Caenorhabditis elegans: one gene and its partners. The protein of the gene in region 1 interacts with the protein of each later gene in a pairwise test. Each region holds a gene or a part of one and is shown on either strand. Other genes may lie near its edges.

Region 1 (5,330 bases):
ATTAAGCGAAAAACTCGAAAACGTGACTTTCGAACTAATATTATCGCTGTAATGAAACAAAGAACACCTAAAGTCAACTGTAAACAACACGCTACAAATTTTTGCCGATTTTTACAACAAAGCACAATATTTAATCTAAAAATGTGTACCTTAACATCTTCCACATCTGGCAAAGAACATGCAAACTTCTGCCCTCCTTTACTCGTCACAAACATCAAATTCTGCTCGGTCGAGTCATCGGGAATCCGATTAACAATTCGCTTTTCGAGATCATCAATATTGCTGGCTGTAACTTTTCGAATATCCAATTCCGGGGCGAACCAAAGAAAATTCTCGCCAATATTCGCGTCATAAGAGACCCGTCGGTACTCTGCAAGGTCAAATACGCCTGCCGTGGCGGTCGTGGACGGCAGCAGGAATAGTTGGAGGAAATAAATTATCATCGTCTTGGCATAGCACCTGCAAAGAGAAACTACGTAAACAATTCTCCGATTGAATTGAAAAATTGAAAAGTAAATGCGAACAGTTTTTTAATTGGAAAAAATAATTTTGGCAACGAAAACTTCTAGCCACGTGGCAAAATCTGAGCACTGGAAGTTTCTGAGACAATCAATCGGGAAACTGCGCGTTTAATATAAATTTATGCCCGCTCTTTGCCAGCTGGATTTGCCAAACGGCCAAAAAGATGGTTTCAAAGTTCCAAATGGCAAAAGTAAATTTTTTATTTGAATGAGACGTTTCACAACGCTTGCAACTTGAGCAATATTTAATCCACGTTGCAAAAGCACCGAGATTCTCTGCTCAAAAGCTTCTGCGACGTGGCATACGCCGGATAACACCATTATTCCAAATATTTTCAGAGATTTCAACCACACTGATCTAACCTAACCTGAGACCTTTTTTCTCATAATAGACGATGACCTTTTATTCTGCAAAAAAAATAAATGAATGAATGGGTCGCAATGGAAAAAGTGGTGATTGTGTGTGGTGGAAAAAGAACAGAAAGAAGTAGGATGGTGAAATATACGGGATAGAAGTGGGAGGAAAATGAAAATAATCATAAAGAGAGGTCGCATAATTTAACGATTATAATTTGTATTGTTTTGTTGTGGGAGGGACGGTGGTTAGAACTATTACAATACAGAGTTTTGTCTCGAGGGCTAAACATTTACAAATGAATGAGGAGAGATAGAGATTATTCGCGTGCTCGGGAACAAAAATGGAAAAATAAGACGATTGAGAAGTGGAAGATGTAGAGATTCCAATTTGACTAGCGATATGTTCGATTACAAGCCGAGTGCTGAAAATGTTCAATTTCAAATTCACTCTAAATTTTAAGACAACTGAAACTTACAGTTCTTGGCTTCCTCTGAAAAGTATCGAACGTCAAAGTCTGAATCTTTTCCGAGCTTCTCGAGCAGTGGCTTCACCTCGGACGTCAATGTACTGAAAATAGAAAATTGGGATAGTGAAAAAGATTTTCCTGTCACCTTGGGGTCAAGTTCTTTCCAATTCGCTTCAAACTCTTTGCGGCGTTGAATCTGACATTCGGCACGTCATCCTCGACAAGCTGAAATTAGAAAAATTACGATTTCTTTAAATAAAAAAGTAAAATTTCCCTACATCTTTCACAATTGGCATAATCTCCTTCAGAATCTGCTCCTGAGTCATCGCCTCACTGAGTGTATTCAAACAGAACAAGCATGTCATTCTCTGCAGGTAGTTGGTGTCCTTCTGAAGTTTCTGCATTTTTGGTACAATATTCGTGCTAGCCCATTGTCCTCCAAACTTCTGTGTCAGTTCCTTCATGATGAGGGTCGATGCCTCGCGGATTGAGAACACTGGAAAAAATTAAATTAAAAACATTTTTAAGAAAAAATCAAGTTACCATGGTCGGTAAGCCAGTTCAAACAAAGCGGAAGCAACTTCTCATCGAAGAATTCTTGTCCCAACTGGGAAGCAAGAAGTGGCATGAATTGAACAATTGCGAGTCGAACTCTCCATTTTCCATCCTCGGCCAATCCAACGATGGCTGGCAAGAGGGATGTGGACAATTGAGCTGCTCCGATCACTTCATTGACCTTATCAAGACTGGAAATAATATTGAGGCGAACTTCTGGGGTTTGATCGTTAAGCAACTGCATGTAGATTGGGAGAAGCTCAGAGACAGTTTGTTCCTTGCCAATCAGTGGAGCAAGTCCCATGATGACACCGGCGAGTTCCGACTTGACGAGCTGATTCCCATCAGTAACCAATTCCTTGGCAACGTTGAGCAGTGAGTTGCAGATAATGTTCTGACGCTTGTCCTCTGGCAAGTTGAGAGCGAATTCCTGAAGTCTCTGAGTGGCAGCACATCTAACCTCACCCTCTGGATCCTTGAGAAGGTTCGTGTACATGTTAACGAGATGTGTGGTATCCATATCCTCACCGAGGACATTCTGAATCTCGATAAGCTTCTCGGCAACCATATAACGAACTCTCCACGACTTGTCATCGAACAATTCAATGAGAATTGGCTCGATGAGTTTCTTCTTGTTAGCCTTATCGAGGAGAGTTCCGAAAGCGATGGCTGACTCGACAGTGAGCAAACGAACAGAATCTTGCTCATCAACATGAAGATCAGTGAGACTGGAGTGGAGACCCTCGATGACGGCAGTCTTCTCAAACACCTTTGCGAACTCTCCGAGCTTTGCAGCAGCAGCACGGCGAACCATTGGGGTGTCATCACGGCACAGGGTTCGGAACATGCTGAAAATAATTAATTTAGATTGCTTTAGTTATTCTTTTCTTAATTCTCACCTCTTCAATTCCGACTTGATAGCTGGACTGACACGTGGATAAACAACAGAGAAAAGCCCACAAGCCGAGGTACGGGATGTGAACCAGTCTCCAGTGGCCAAACGTCTGAGCATCGGCACGAAATGCTCCTCCAATGAGGCCGAGCTGTGCTTGTCGGCGATTTTGCGGAGACTCTCAACGGCTTTGTCACGGACCACGGTCTCCTCGACTGTGGCCAAGTTCTCAAGTGGAAGGAGAAGACAATGAACATGATCTGGACCACCGACCAATGGAGTGAAATTTCCGAGTTGCTCGGCGAGCACAAGCAGAACCTCATCTTCGTCGTAAATCGTGTCGGTCAAAAATTGGATGAGCTCGTTGCGTGTGCGCTCCACACCCAACGCCAAAGCGATTGTGGAGAGTTTGCGAATGCTGTTCAGTCGCAACGTGACATCTTCGTTGCGCAGCTCGTCAATGAGCACGGCAATCGGGTAGAGCGCGTCGTCAGTGGCTTCTTCGACAACCGACATGATGAAGAGTGCTGAAATTTGTTTTATGAAAATTAATCTCGCGGCTATTCAAAGGAGAAAGAACGGGAAGAGAAACGGATTATCATCGGGCATGAGGAGAACAAGAGAGAGAGAGGAGACGCAGTGAAGATAACACAGCAATGTGTTGAAATATTGATTACCGGGTGGTTTTTGGAGAAATAAATTGGAGAGAAAATAGAAAAATTGAGTATTTTGAAAGAACTTGCAGAATCTACGAATAGTCATCTTTGAATATCTGATATTAAGAAAATTAAATTCAAATTTAAGAATGTTCAGTGCTAGAAAACATATTTTTGTTGAAACATTATTATTTCTGTACGAAAATATAGAAAATCAATGAAATGGAATTGTTCAAAGAAGAAGAGTGTGATTTTTAAAGAAACTATTGGAATTTTCGAGAAATCAGTGAAAAACTCTACCACGTGGACAATATTTTCACTGATCTTTCGAAAATCAACTCTGAAACTCGTGAAATTTCGATATTAAGAAATCGCTATAGTGAACCTGACGAACATGCAAAAAAAGAGCGGCGAAAGGAGAAGAAGAGAAACAGCTGCGACAGTGATACGCAGAGAAGCAGAGAACGGCCATCTCTCTCTCACTGCAATAGCACAATCCATCGCGCCTGCGGTCGTAGAGCTCTCATCGATTTGTCGTCGGTTTCGGTGTACTGGACGTGGCGACGACAGAGGGAACAGCGCCGGAAAATGACTGAAAATGTCCTTAAAATAGAATATTTTCAGTGTAGAAGGGAGGATGAAAACACAGGCATCACGTGATTAGTGAACAGCCAGTTTTTTTCTGATATTTAAACAATAAAAAGGCTGAAAATTAATTTGATTCGAATTTTCAGGCAAAACGCGTGGGCATGCTGTTAGAAGAACATCATTAAACATTTAAAATCATCATGGTTTCCTGGTTTTCAAAAATTTCAAACAGGCGAACAAAAGAGAAAAGGACGTCAAAAGCTTTAATAAAATATGCAAAAGTGAGTGCACAATCGAGCTTTTGGTTCTCATTTTTCGCAAAAGCGTGGTGCTCTAGTACGTATTCTTCTCATTAGCTCAGTTTATATATTTACAGAACAGTACAATGGGAGACGGTGCGAATGTGTTCAACACATTCAGCTTCAACAAATGGGCAGACGGCAAGCGTGAAGAGGAGATAGATAAGGAAAGTAGACGGCGACGAGCCGAGCAGGTTTGTGGTGGCTCTCCAAGGTGTATACTAGTGGCTTAATGACAGATTAAACGACTGAAGGAAAGGCTTCGAAAGGAGAGAGCACTGCGTGAGGCTCAAGGTGATGGAGATCTTGATTTGGATGCATTGATTGAGGCGTTACAAAGAGGAGAAGTTATCAATATACGTATGTCAAAATTATTTATTTTACTATTTAAAAACAGTGATAGAATCTTAATCACATCAGGTTTCTAATTGTTACTAATTATGTTAACTGTTCTTACAACCAAGATTTATAACATGAATAGAGAAGGATATTTGATAATTTGGATCCTATTTCAGCTCAACAAACCGATGTAATTGTAACCGAACCTATCGAGGAAACTTCTAAAAGAAAACGAGGGGTGCCAGATAATTTGTCAGATGATTATATCTTTAATGAAATAAATCTCTACGCAAATCGCTCGATCGGCTTGAACAATATTGCAGAGCCGGTGGACATAGCGCCTGTTCCACTACAAAAATTAGGTGAGGAAATTCAAGAAAAACCAATTTAAAATCTACTGTAAATTCAGATCCACTCTCCTTCCGTTATAATCGAAGAAATCAGAATAACGAAATGATCGCCAATGAGGAGCAAATTGTTCAACACCGGCCGAATAACTTCAAGTTTAATAGAATGATACAGGATATTCAAAAATGATTTTTTTTTTCGAAATGATTAATAAATTCTTATACTCTCTCCAAATGATCACAGCAACTAGGCAGAAAAAATGAAGGATGACTCAAACGTTTTAAATTTCGAAACTATTGGAACTAAAT
Region 2 (4,582 bases), on another chromosome or scaffold:
AATACAGGAACAAGAAGTACACAGACTAACAGGTGGAATCGCATTTCTGTAGATAAATGGGTTAAATGTTTTTTTTTTTTTAAATTAAATTTTTAAAAGAAAATCCTGATAAAACTGTGGTATCAGTGTTTAGAGAGAAATGGGAAAAATCGCAGAGTTTATAAATGGGGAGAGTACAATGGAACAGTTGAAGTCCAAACATCTGGGTGCTCTCTCGAACTTTTTGAAAATGCCAAAAAACAAATTTGCAAAGATGAACAAGACACACCTAATCTTTTATATTTTCTAATTTTCCACCTACTCTCTATAAATAATCAATGTCAATATTTACTAGATTTTGACAAAAGAAATTCAAAAAATTCGGGTGCAAAAGTCAACAGGAAGAGAAATCAAAAATAGAGAAAGGTAGTGATAGTTCAAAACGCTTGCTTGCATATGGAAAATCAAGTGAAAGTGTATCTTTTCAATTGGAAAGTCTGAAGACAGCAAGTGTTTTAATACAGGAACACATGTGTACATGCCATAACAGTTTGTTTTAAAAGTTATGAACTTGTAGTTTAAAAATTCGTAGAACTTCTCCAATTAACACGTACACTACTAGAATTTTCATTTTTATTTCGTACACAAATGAAACTCTTGAAGGAGACCGATGGAAAGGTCAAGTTGGTACTTGTCAAACAATGACAGAAGTGTGAAGTGCTGAAAATCGAATTAAGTTCGAGACTATCTCGATCATATGATCAAATGAGAAAGAATCGATGAAATTCAAAATTTATTCAGGTCACAGCTGGAAGTAATGGTTTTAGTACAATTCACAGACATTACACGTAGTGATTAATGATAATTTTAAAACGTCAAGAGTTAAACACATTTGATATCATTTCCTGCGAGCGTATTTTTCACGAATACGGCGTTCTCGTTCAGCTGGAGTCTCAGGTACCGCTTGCTCGTGATAGTTCTGTCCCCGTTTATTGACTACAACATCCTCTTCATGATCTGATGAATCTTCCACGTAGTATCCAGTTCGATTGTTTCTAGCTGTCGTTTTTCCAGCTGCTTCTGACGGATAATAGCTAATACTTTGACCCTTTTGATAGAGTGAGTGACATGGTTGATCCGGTTCGTAGGTACGGTATGAGTCAGGAGCTAGAAAAGGTTTTTTTGAATAGTGAAGAGACTTCTCATTTTTGACTTTTAATTCAAATTTTTCAACTGATTTGAGGATTTCATCTTAAAATCATTTCGTAGTATAAAGTGTTTTCACTACGAATGGTTATCAACTTTCAAACATTTTTAATGAATTATTTGATACATTTTGGAATGCGTGAATTATTATATTTATACAATTCTAGCGGACGAATTCTGTGTTTGAATATTGAAAAATTAAATTACCACGATTATCACGTCTCTCATTTGTCCACTGTCTAGAATCAATAGAAGCGAGTCCGTTGTCATATCGAATACTTCGTTCTACCGTAAGTGTTTCTCTCATCAAAGCAGGATTCACACCAGATCCGTATCTAACTTCAGACATTGGTGGTGGTGGAGAATATGCAGCTCTGTTAGCATCACATTCAGCCTGAAAACAAACTATTTCTATCGGATTTAAATACACTACTCACGTCTGCTAGAACATTATCAATTTGTTGGCGAAACATTGGGTCCGAGCGAAGGCGTTGCTCAATAATTGTTAATGCTTCTGGAGGTATAACACCGTCTCTTTTGATAACTTCTCGTGCCGAAGCGATCTTAAAACGGAGTACTTTTTGATTTATTTTTTATCTGAATTCTCACTTTACTAGCTGGCTTCTGCTGTCTTGATTGACGAGGACTCTCATGAAAATTTTCTTTGTCTTTTTCAACTGGTTCGATCGCTTGCTGTTTAGGAATCGTTATCTCTGAAAAATTATTATTTATTGAATTTATGGGATAATATATATTCAAACATACTCTGAAAGAAGTTTGACATCAATTCTTGCATTTTAACAAGATTTTGAGCATTGAGCTCTTCTTGTCGCCGGGCCGTTTCTTCTTGAATCTCTGTTCGTATCGTTTGCAGTTCTGTTTTCATAGCGTCCCGCCAGTTTTCAGCTGCCTGTTCTTCAGTCGTTGTCGTATTTTGGGCAGACATTGTTGAAGCAAGCACTTTTTTTGAATTCCGAGATGTTCCCTGAAAGATAATTTAGTGGAATTATGCCATGGAACAATTTTAATTTAATTACCTCGACAGTTTGGGAAACGTTAACTGTTTTTCCAAACGCAACTGTTTTTTGGCGAAGCGCTGGATGCGAAGGTGGCTCTTTTCTTGGTTTCGGAGCCGAAAGACACGATTTTTTCTTGGCTACTTCTACAGCGGCGACAATTGGCTGCGTAGATGGTACTGGGGGTTTTGTCCTTTCTTGTGGAAGCTGAAGAACTTCTTGAAAGGCAGGGACTTCAGAATCTTCGAAGACTCTCGGTTGATCCACAAACTCCTGGACTAAATTGGCAATTTTAACACTTTTATATCGAAAACAACTCACCAGTTGGTTTTTTGAAGTAAATAGAGCAGGGTAAGTCGTCGTAATTATTCATTCCCGCTTAATGCGAGGTCATTTCTGTTAAAACTATGAAATTGGAAAATAAAACGTTTTTTCTTTAAAATTGGCGCGTTGGTGTCGCGGGGGCGTGGCCTCTGCTGCAACCCCCGCGCACATTTTTTGCAAGATGAGCGCGCACATTGTATATTTTCTCACATTTCTTTTCGCATGACCATTCGGGGACGAAAGAAGATTGTAATTAAATTAAATGATATTATTATAAAACAACAGAATTTTCTACTTTCTCATATTATCTGCAATTTAGAAGAATGTTCCTGATCAGTTGAACAAATTTAGATTGACAGATTTTCAAACAAAAAATCTTCTCAACCTACACAATTTTCCAATGTATTAAAAGTATTAAAAAACAAGTAAACACTCCCGACTGGTTTTCTAAAAATTCCGAGAAAATTTTTCCTCTGTACACAGATAGACAGCGAGACACAGAAAAAGTGTCTCAAAATAAATCAGCGTGGTAAAAAAGTCAGTGCGAAGGAGCCAACAGTATATGTACATTATACACACAATGTTTGCTCCGTGGGGTCAGATCAAAACTGGAATTTGGATTTGACTGTTGGTGGTGTTGCACGGTAGCAAGAGCTTACACGATTGCCAGTACAATAGTTTAAAGGGGCGGGAATCTCGATGGCCTATTTAAAAGAAATCCAGAACTCGAGTACAACATTTTCACGTGGCAAAACTAAAATGGCACTTAGATTGGCTGTGGTGAGTTTTAAAATCCTTTTAATTATGAGGTTTGAAACTTAGTTAAATTAAAAACTACTAAATCCAGAAATAGATCTACTTTAGATCTACATACGACTTTCAGTTAATTTAAATGTAATTATTATTTAGATTCTCTCCCTATTGTCTTTCACTGCGGCTCAATCGACTTCTGTTGACTGTTTTGCTGCACGGGACTCTGGAAATACTTGCGCTGAGAACAGTTCTTCTAGAATGTTCTATTATCTTCCAAGACTTGGAACGTGTCAACCATTCATGTATCAGGGATGTGGTGGTAATAGTAACCGGTTCAGTAGTGCACAAGAGTGTAGATCAGCTTGTACCAATGCTCAAGCTCAAAGAGACTCGGAGTCAAGTGATGAAACCGTTCAAATGAAGTGTAAGTGAGGTTAGCTAGTAACTATGGCAATTATTCTAAAAATTTTAAGCTGCTTGCTCTGCTACCTATGACACTGACCACTTGACACCAGTGAGATGCTCAGCAGGAGCTAATACTTGCCCACAGGGTCATAACTGTATTCAATCATTCTGTTGTCCAACATCCAGTAAGCATCAAATGTTTAAATGTTTTATTCTTAAATTTCAAATTCACAGACTATCTTTGCAACTTGACATATGACTCTGGAAAGTTTGCTGTCGGAGGAGAGAAAAGTGACAAATACTTCTGGGTTCCAAAATACACAACTTGCATGCGTTTCTCATTCTATGGAACTCTCGGAAATGCCAACAACTTCCCCAACTACAACTCATGTATGGCAACCTGTGGAAATCAAACAAGAACTTCCCAATAAGACGATATTTGAATTCCTGGAATTATCTGTATTATGAAAAACAAGTTATTTTTAAGAGTTGGCATTTTTGTAGTTTTTTTTCGGGTAATTTTCAAAGTATGATTTAACTGTATTATCATCCACTCATAAACAATTTTTATCTCATTTCTTTTAAATATTTTTTATATAATCTAAAAAATAATTTTGAATGTGATGCAAAAATAATAATTTATATACATTAAGGCAACGTTTTTCCTTTTGGGAACTACAAAACTTCAGTTATATTTATCCTGTAATTTGTCTCCATGTCAAGAGTATGGTTTTCAATCAAAGTACAACCAGGTTCGTTTATTATTCAGCCCTAGTTTAAAGTAAAATCTATCACTAAAAATAATACCCCATTTTCTCTAATAGTATTGCGACCCACACCTATAATATCAAACTCACATCTATAACCAGTAAAAAATTTTACAGAAAAATATCTATAGA
Region 3 (5,210 bases), on another chromosome or scaffold:
CGGGTCGTGCAATTGTGGTATTCGATACAATAATTCCATCGATCGCAAACTTTTTATTCGTCACAACTTGTGCAATGTCTTTTAATTCTGATTCAATTAGATCCGGAGCAATTTTCAGAAAAACTTGAGGCTGCTTTTCCAGCTTGTGCATTTCAAGCGCTTGGTGTACATAGGCCAACAGCTTCTCCAAATCACTTTTCTTTTGCATACTTCTGAGCCCAGGAGTGTTAGGTGATGATACATTGAGAACCAGATAATCACAATGTGGAGCAAAGTAGTTGACACCAATTTCATAATCCAATCTACAAGAACTGAAATTTAAACGTTTTTGCCTTTTTAACTGACTTTGCGTCTTCCGTAAGTTTATTCTTTCCCAAATTGACTCCAAAATATGCATAACTCTCTGGAACCCATGAATCTCTGGCACTTCGTACTCTTTGATGAACTCTTCCAACTCCATCACTATTAAATCCATATCGATTGATAACTCCTTCATCTTCCAATAACCTAAACACGCGTGGTCTATTATTTCCTGGTTGTGGTATTGGTGTTACAGATCCAATTTCAATGAGTCCAAATCCAGAATTCTTGGCCAATTGTGTAATTGCTTGTCCATCTTTATCAAATCCAGCAGCTAACCCGATAGGATTCTTGAATTCTCGTCCAAAAAGCTCACATTTCAGTTCAGGATATTCTTTTCGATTCCATCCGAAACGTGGCAAAAGTCCCCACGAAGCAGCTCGAACCGCCCATCGATGTGAATCTTCTCCATCGACAAATTTGTGTACCATTGGCATTACTGCCTTTTTGTAGAACGTTTCCGAACCATATAGAAGTTCAAGTGCTGTGTAACTGGCAATTCCTGTCGCGAGTACAATTACTGTCGACTTGCTTATTGCACCAGGTGGAAGTTTGGAGTAGATGTATTTTTGTTCGGCATTTTGACTCATTCTTCAGTAGAAATTCAGGATGATTTATTCAAATCAGCAACAAATTTCTCCAGCTGAAAAAAAAAAATTAAAATGATCAATGTGGCTGAGTTTTCTTTTGGAAGTTTTCACTTTTATAAGTAGAAATACAGGTAAAGTATCTTAAAGTTAAAAAAAAAACTTGCCTGCTCTGAAGTGAAATCCAAAACTTGTGTCTCGCCGTCTTCGTAATGGAGTACAAGTTGAAAGAATGGTTGAAAGAGACTGGGAGAAGAGTCGCAGCTAGCAGACGCCTAAATTATTTGGAAATTTGAATTGATAAGCTCGATAACTAATGGTTGAAGGTTATCTTAGATAACAGGGGAATCTAGTACAAAGTATAATAAACTATTTAAATCAAAATGAAATGTTAAAGAGTAGTGTCGTTTTATTTTAAATTACTTTGAAAAAGTTAAGTTGGGAAATGAAAGATTGGCAGAATCTACATTTTTATGAAAGTTTAGGGCAAAAAAATGGCATGAGAACATCTGAAATGTTTGCAGCATGGTGTCTTGGCGGTGGTTGATGATGATAAAAGTGACAAAAAAGATAAGATGCGATGATGAAGTGTCGAGAGAAGAAATGAATGAAAATCGACGCGATAGATCAGAAATCACATTTTGCTTAAACTGCCGAATTTGTTTTTGAACAAATACAACGTTTTTGAAATGAATATTTTCTTTTTTATTCAGTTTATGTCACCTCAATTTTCATTTTGTGCAACTTTTACACGAAAACTTTTTTTTAAAACTTACTCGAATACTGTAGTCGTATGATTTAAGTTTCTTCTTGATAGTTTGATGGTTTTCCGCTCCTAATGACATACAATCTGAAACTTTAAGAATTTAAAATAAGAAATACTATTTAGTTTGAAGATAAAGAAACAAGTGATTTTTAGACATGAGAACAATTTTAATTTCAAGAGGTTTTTCTTTTTTATTGGAAAAATTAATAATTATACAGTTTTTGCGTATATACTTACAACAAATATTATACAGCTATGGAAACAGATTTTTAGCAAATGAAAACACTTGAAAACACAAGATTTATGTCCAATTTTGAACTAAAACGCTGAAATTTAATTCTAAAATCTTTCGAAACACATTTTTTAATTGAATTTTAAGAGAAAATATTTAGAAAATTGGAGAAAAAACATTATATTTCAATAAAAACTGAAGAAAATAAAGAGAAAAATGAACTGAATTGTGGGCGTGGCCAATTTGCAACATAGTGCGCAGTTTCTTCTTGATTTTTTTTTCGCAGTCGTTATTTTGTTTTCCTCTTCCTTTTATATTCAATAACTATTATTATAATTATCCGGTTATCCATCTGTCTTTAATTTATTTTTTTCAGAATATAAATATGCAAAAGTCAGATGAAGTCACTGAAAAGTTCAAACGATATTGTAATCAACTGGAAAAATACGGCCAAACTGAAAATGTGCATTCTCCAGTGATGGCGATGTTGCGCAGAAAGTATGTTTTATTCTGTAACAAAAACTTAAAATACAACAGCTTGAGTCAGAAACTATGAAATTAATAAACGATCTTTAAGTTTAAAATTTAAAGAATTACAATTTTCAGAGGCCGAAAACAGCTCATTGAGATTATGAAACGCGACGGGGACTGTACAAGTTCAATCAATAAATTGTGGATTGTTGGATATTATCACCCTTTCCAGTTTTTTATTCGAGTAAGATTAACTTTTAGTCATTGTATTATTTTTATTTGATTTCCAAAGGTTCTTATTACAGGATAAGGAGAAAAACATGGCAATAGCCGTGTTGCTGACAATGTTCTGTGGAGAGCTTCAAGAAATGCTTTCGCTTCCCGATGACAAATACCCAGCATTGTGGAACATGTACATTGGAGATTTTCATCGTTATATGCCAGACGAAGAAATTCAGAAATGCTTGGCAGTTGGATATTATTCAAGAGCAATCGATCTAGATCCGAATCAAGGAAGAGCTTTCCACGTTCTCGCTGGTCTCCGAGCTGACCTGAATGTTGCACAGAAGCTGAGACTGATGATTTTAGGACAGCTCGCCGATGCTCCATATAAAAAAGGCACTGAACTCTTGGAATATTTGAAATTTCCACAAAAAGAATCCACTGATAAATTGATGGTAGATTTTGTCATTTGGGCATTGAACGAGAAATCAAAACGAATGGATTATCAGATGACTGGAATCAAAATAGTAAACGAGTTTAAAGCAGAAATCGAACAGAAACTCGAATTCGATTGGTCTCTGATCATGTCAACGTGTCGTTTAGCATCTAAATTGGCAATGAAGAAATTTGGATGTAAGTACCGATTCCAATATCTATAGAAAATTCTTATTCTGCTGTAGGATAACATAATTTTTTCAGTTCAACAATTCTACAATTGCTTCGACACAATTTCAACGCTGTATATTACAATTTATTCACGTACGATTTCATCCAAATGCCTTCTAGCTGAAGCTATCTCATGGATTTCCGATTCAGCCGAAATACTCGGACACTTGGATGAGCAGAAAAATGAGCCACATTTCCAGAAGCTATCGGTTTTCGCCAAAACGGTAAGATTTAGAGATAAGAAAATGTAGAATAGATGTTTCAATTTTAAAATCAAGGGGAATTAATTATAAATATAACTTATTTTCAGAAATGGAACGAGCTCAACGACTTGGTTATGAATCATATCAATTCCGTATTCACATCCATGTCACTCACAATCAATCCATCTATTTCTATGACCAGCTTTCTGCTGAATGGTCCAATATCCGAACCCAATGTTGAATTTTTGAGTCAATTAATCAATTATCTGGTTTCCGTCGAATTCCCACCAATGGAGATAATCCACGATAGAGAAGAATCGGGTCCATTGCTACGACGAATTAATCAATCGGAACAAAAACGTTTGGATATTCAAATAAAGACACAAAATGATGAAGTTAACCGGGAGGATTGGAGACCTGTTTATGTATTGATGGATTATGACGTCATAGTTGACAAAATAAGAATTGCTCTAAAAATTTGGGATATCGATGATTTCATCTGCATTTTGCCATCAACAGTGCTTGATGAACTTGATTATCAGAAAACGAAGAATCGAGCAGTTCGTCCAGTAATTCGGGCATTAATGGAGCTTCAAGCAGAGGGAAAAATTGTGCTAAAGAAATGTGATAACGAGAGAAGCTGCGCGGAGCAATTGGTTCAAAGTGCACGAAGATCTGCAGAAGATCACAAGCATATTGTCGCTTTTCTGTGCAAAAACCCGAGTGAACAGAAAGAAATGGAAGGAGTTACTTTTTACGATATCGATCAGTTCTACATGAAGTATTTGGAGTGATGAAAAGAAAGGGCTCTACACTGAAAAATCTCACGATGGCTGGAATTGGAACCGCTTAAAATCATTGAGATCATATTCTTCGGATTTATTTTTGATTTATTTTACTGGATTCAATTATTTGACAATTTTTTGGTAATAAAATTTTCTAATTAACTCTTTTCAAATCATTTCACAATAGTATTAAATTAATAGTAGTACTATGTTCCATTTCGTTCAAATTGAAAATTCCAAGAGCACTCCCACGTATCTAAACAATTATGAATTCTTTTGCCACCCCCGTAAACCATTTAGAAAATTGCATTTTCATTTCACAATCATACCTTTTCGATTCCTATCAGCCTACTATAAATTGATTTTCATGAAGTAAGTAACATTTTCAATTTTTATGCTCCGCAAATCGAAGCTACACATTCCCTGACTGTGAGTATTCTAGAGTACTGTAAGTCTACTATTTTGCTAAACGTGCGAAAACTTCCAGATACCGAATTAGTTCCAGAACATTCACCCTCACTAAAAACTCTAAAATCACCTTAATTTGAATGTTCCTCTGTGTCCCGTCAGACAGTGTCTAGGGCCGATTCTCAGTCAGATAAATAGCGCTCTTCTTTTAGAAACAGGGTGAGAGGAGATTGTATCACTCTCATATCGAGGTCATTCAAATGAAAAGAGGTATACTTTTGTTGATTGAAATACATTTGTGTAAAGTTGAGATGTTTCGATTTGAAAACTTGAGAAAAAAATCTGGTTTTGTTTACTAATTGCGGCTTTTACAGTTTACCATTTACTGCTGTATTGTCTCGTCATGCCACTTAGACACCCAATTTTCAATTGAAGTAGAAATTATATTTCCTTCTTTTTCCAAATCTCACTAAGATTATATCAACTACGAAATCGATACAAAATATCTAC

What was found. Proteins that work in one complex are often made in the same cells at the same time.
Region 2: the proteins of paa-1 (region 1) and sas-5 interact in a two-hybrid assay, tested with the Caenorhabditis elegans proteins (one study listed by BioGRID).
Region 3: the proteins of paa-1 (region 1) and smg-5 interact in a two-hybrid assay, tested with the Caenorhabditis elegans proteins (one study listed by BioGRID).

What each region holds. Positions count from the first base shown.
Region 1 is NC_003281.10:5,448,719-5,454,048, reverse strand, and holds paa-1 (putative serine/threonine-protein phosphatase PP2A regulatory subunit), read right to left. Parts: upstream 3,320-5,330; 5' UTR 3,309-3,319; coding exon 2,800-3,308; intron 2,749-2,799; coding exon 1,889-2,748; intron 1,842-1,888; coding exon 1,624-1,841; intron 1,571-1,623; coding exon 1,491-1,570; intron 1,447-1,490; coding exon 1,355-1,446; intron 1,301-1,354; coding exon 1,287-1,300; 3' UTR 912-1,286; downstream 1-911. Other genes in the region: F48E8.4 (MRH domain-containing protein), read right to left, coding at 150-443; F48E8.8 (Hsp20/alpha crystallin family protein), read left to right, coding at 4,237-4,317, 4,413-4,529, 4,575-4,695, 4,851-5,036, 5,084-5,211. UniProt on the Caenorhabditis elegans protein: Acts as a scaffolding protein for phosphatase let-92 and its regulatory subunits.
Region 2 is NC_003283.11:11,608,771-11,613,352, reverse strand, and holds sas-5 (Spindle assembly abnormal protein 5), read right to left. Parts: upstream 2,617-4,582; 5' UTR 2,575-2,616; coding exon 2,523-2,574; intron 2,480-2,522; coding exon 2,223-2,479; intron 2,171-2,222; coding exon 1,951-2,170; intron 1,899-1,950; coding exon 1,795-1,898; intron 1,749-1,794; coding exon 1,623-1,748; intron 1,580-1,622; coding exon 1,393-1,579; intron 1,147-1,392; coding exon 878-1,146; 3' UTR 757-877; downstream 1-756. Other genes in the region: tag-290 (BPTI/Kunitz inhibitor domain-containing protein), read right to left, coding at 1-44; piit-1 (BPTI/Kunitz inhibitor domain-containing protein), read left to right, coding at 3,285-3,305, 3,435-3,702, 3,752-3,868, 3,918-4,114.
Region 3 is NC_003279.8:6,733,273-6,738,482, reverse strand, and holds smg-5 (PIN domain-containing protein), read left to right. Parts: upstream 1-2,321; 5' UTR 2,322-2,330; coding exon 2,331-2,443; intron 2,444-2,551; coding exon 2,552-2,660; intron 2,661-2,721; coding exon 2,722-3,271; intron 3,272-3,337; coding exon 3,338-3,528; intron 3,529-3,614; coding exon 3,615-4,301; 3' UTR 4,302-4,454; downstream 4,455-5,210. Other genes in the region: dhod-1 (Dihydroorotate dehydrogenase (quinone), mitochondrial), read right to left, coding at 1-302, 346-950.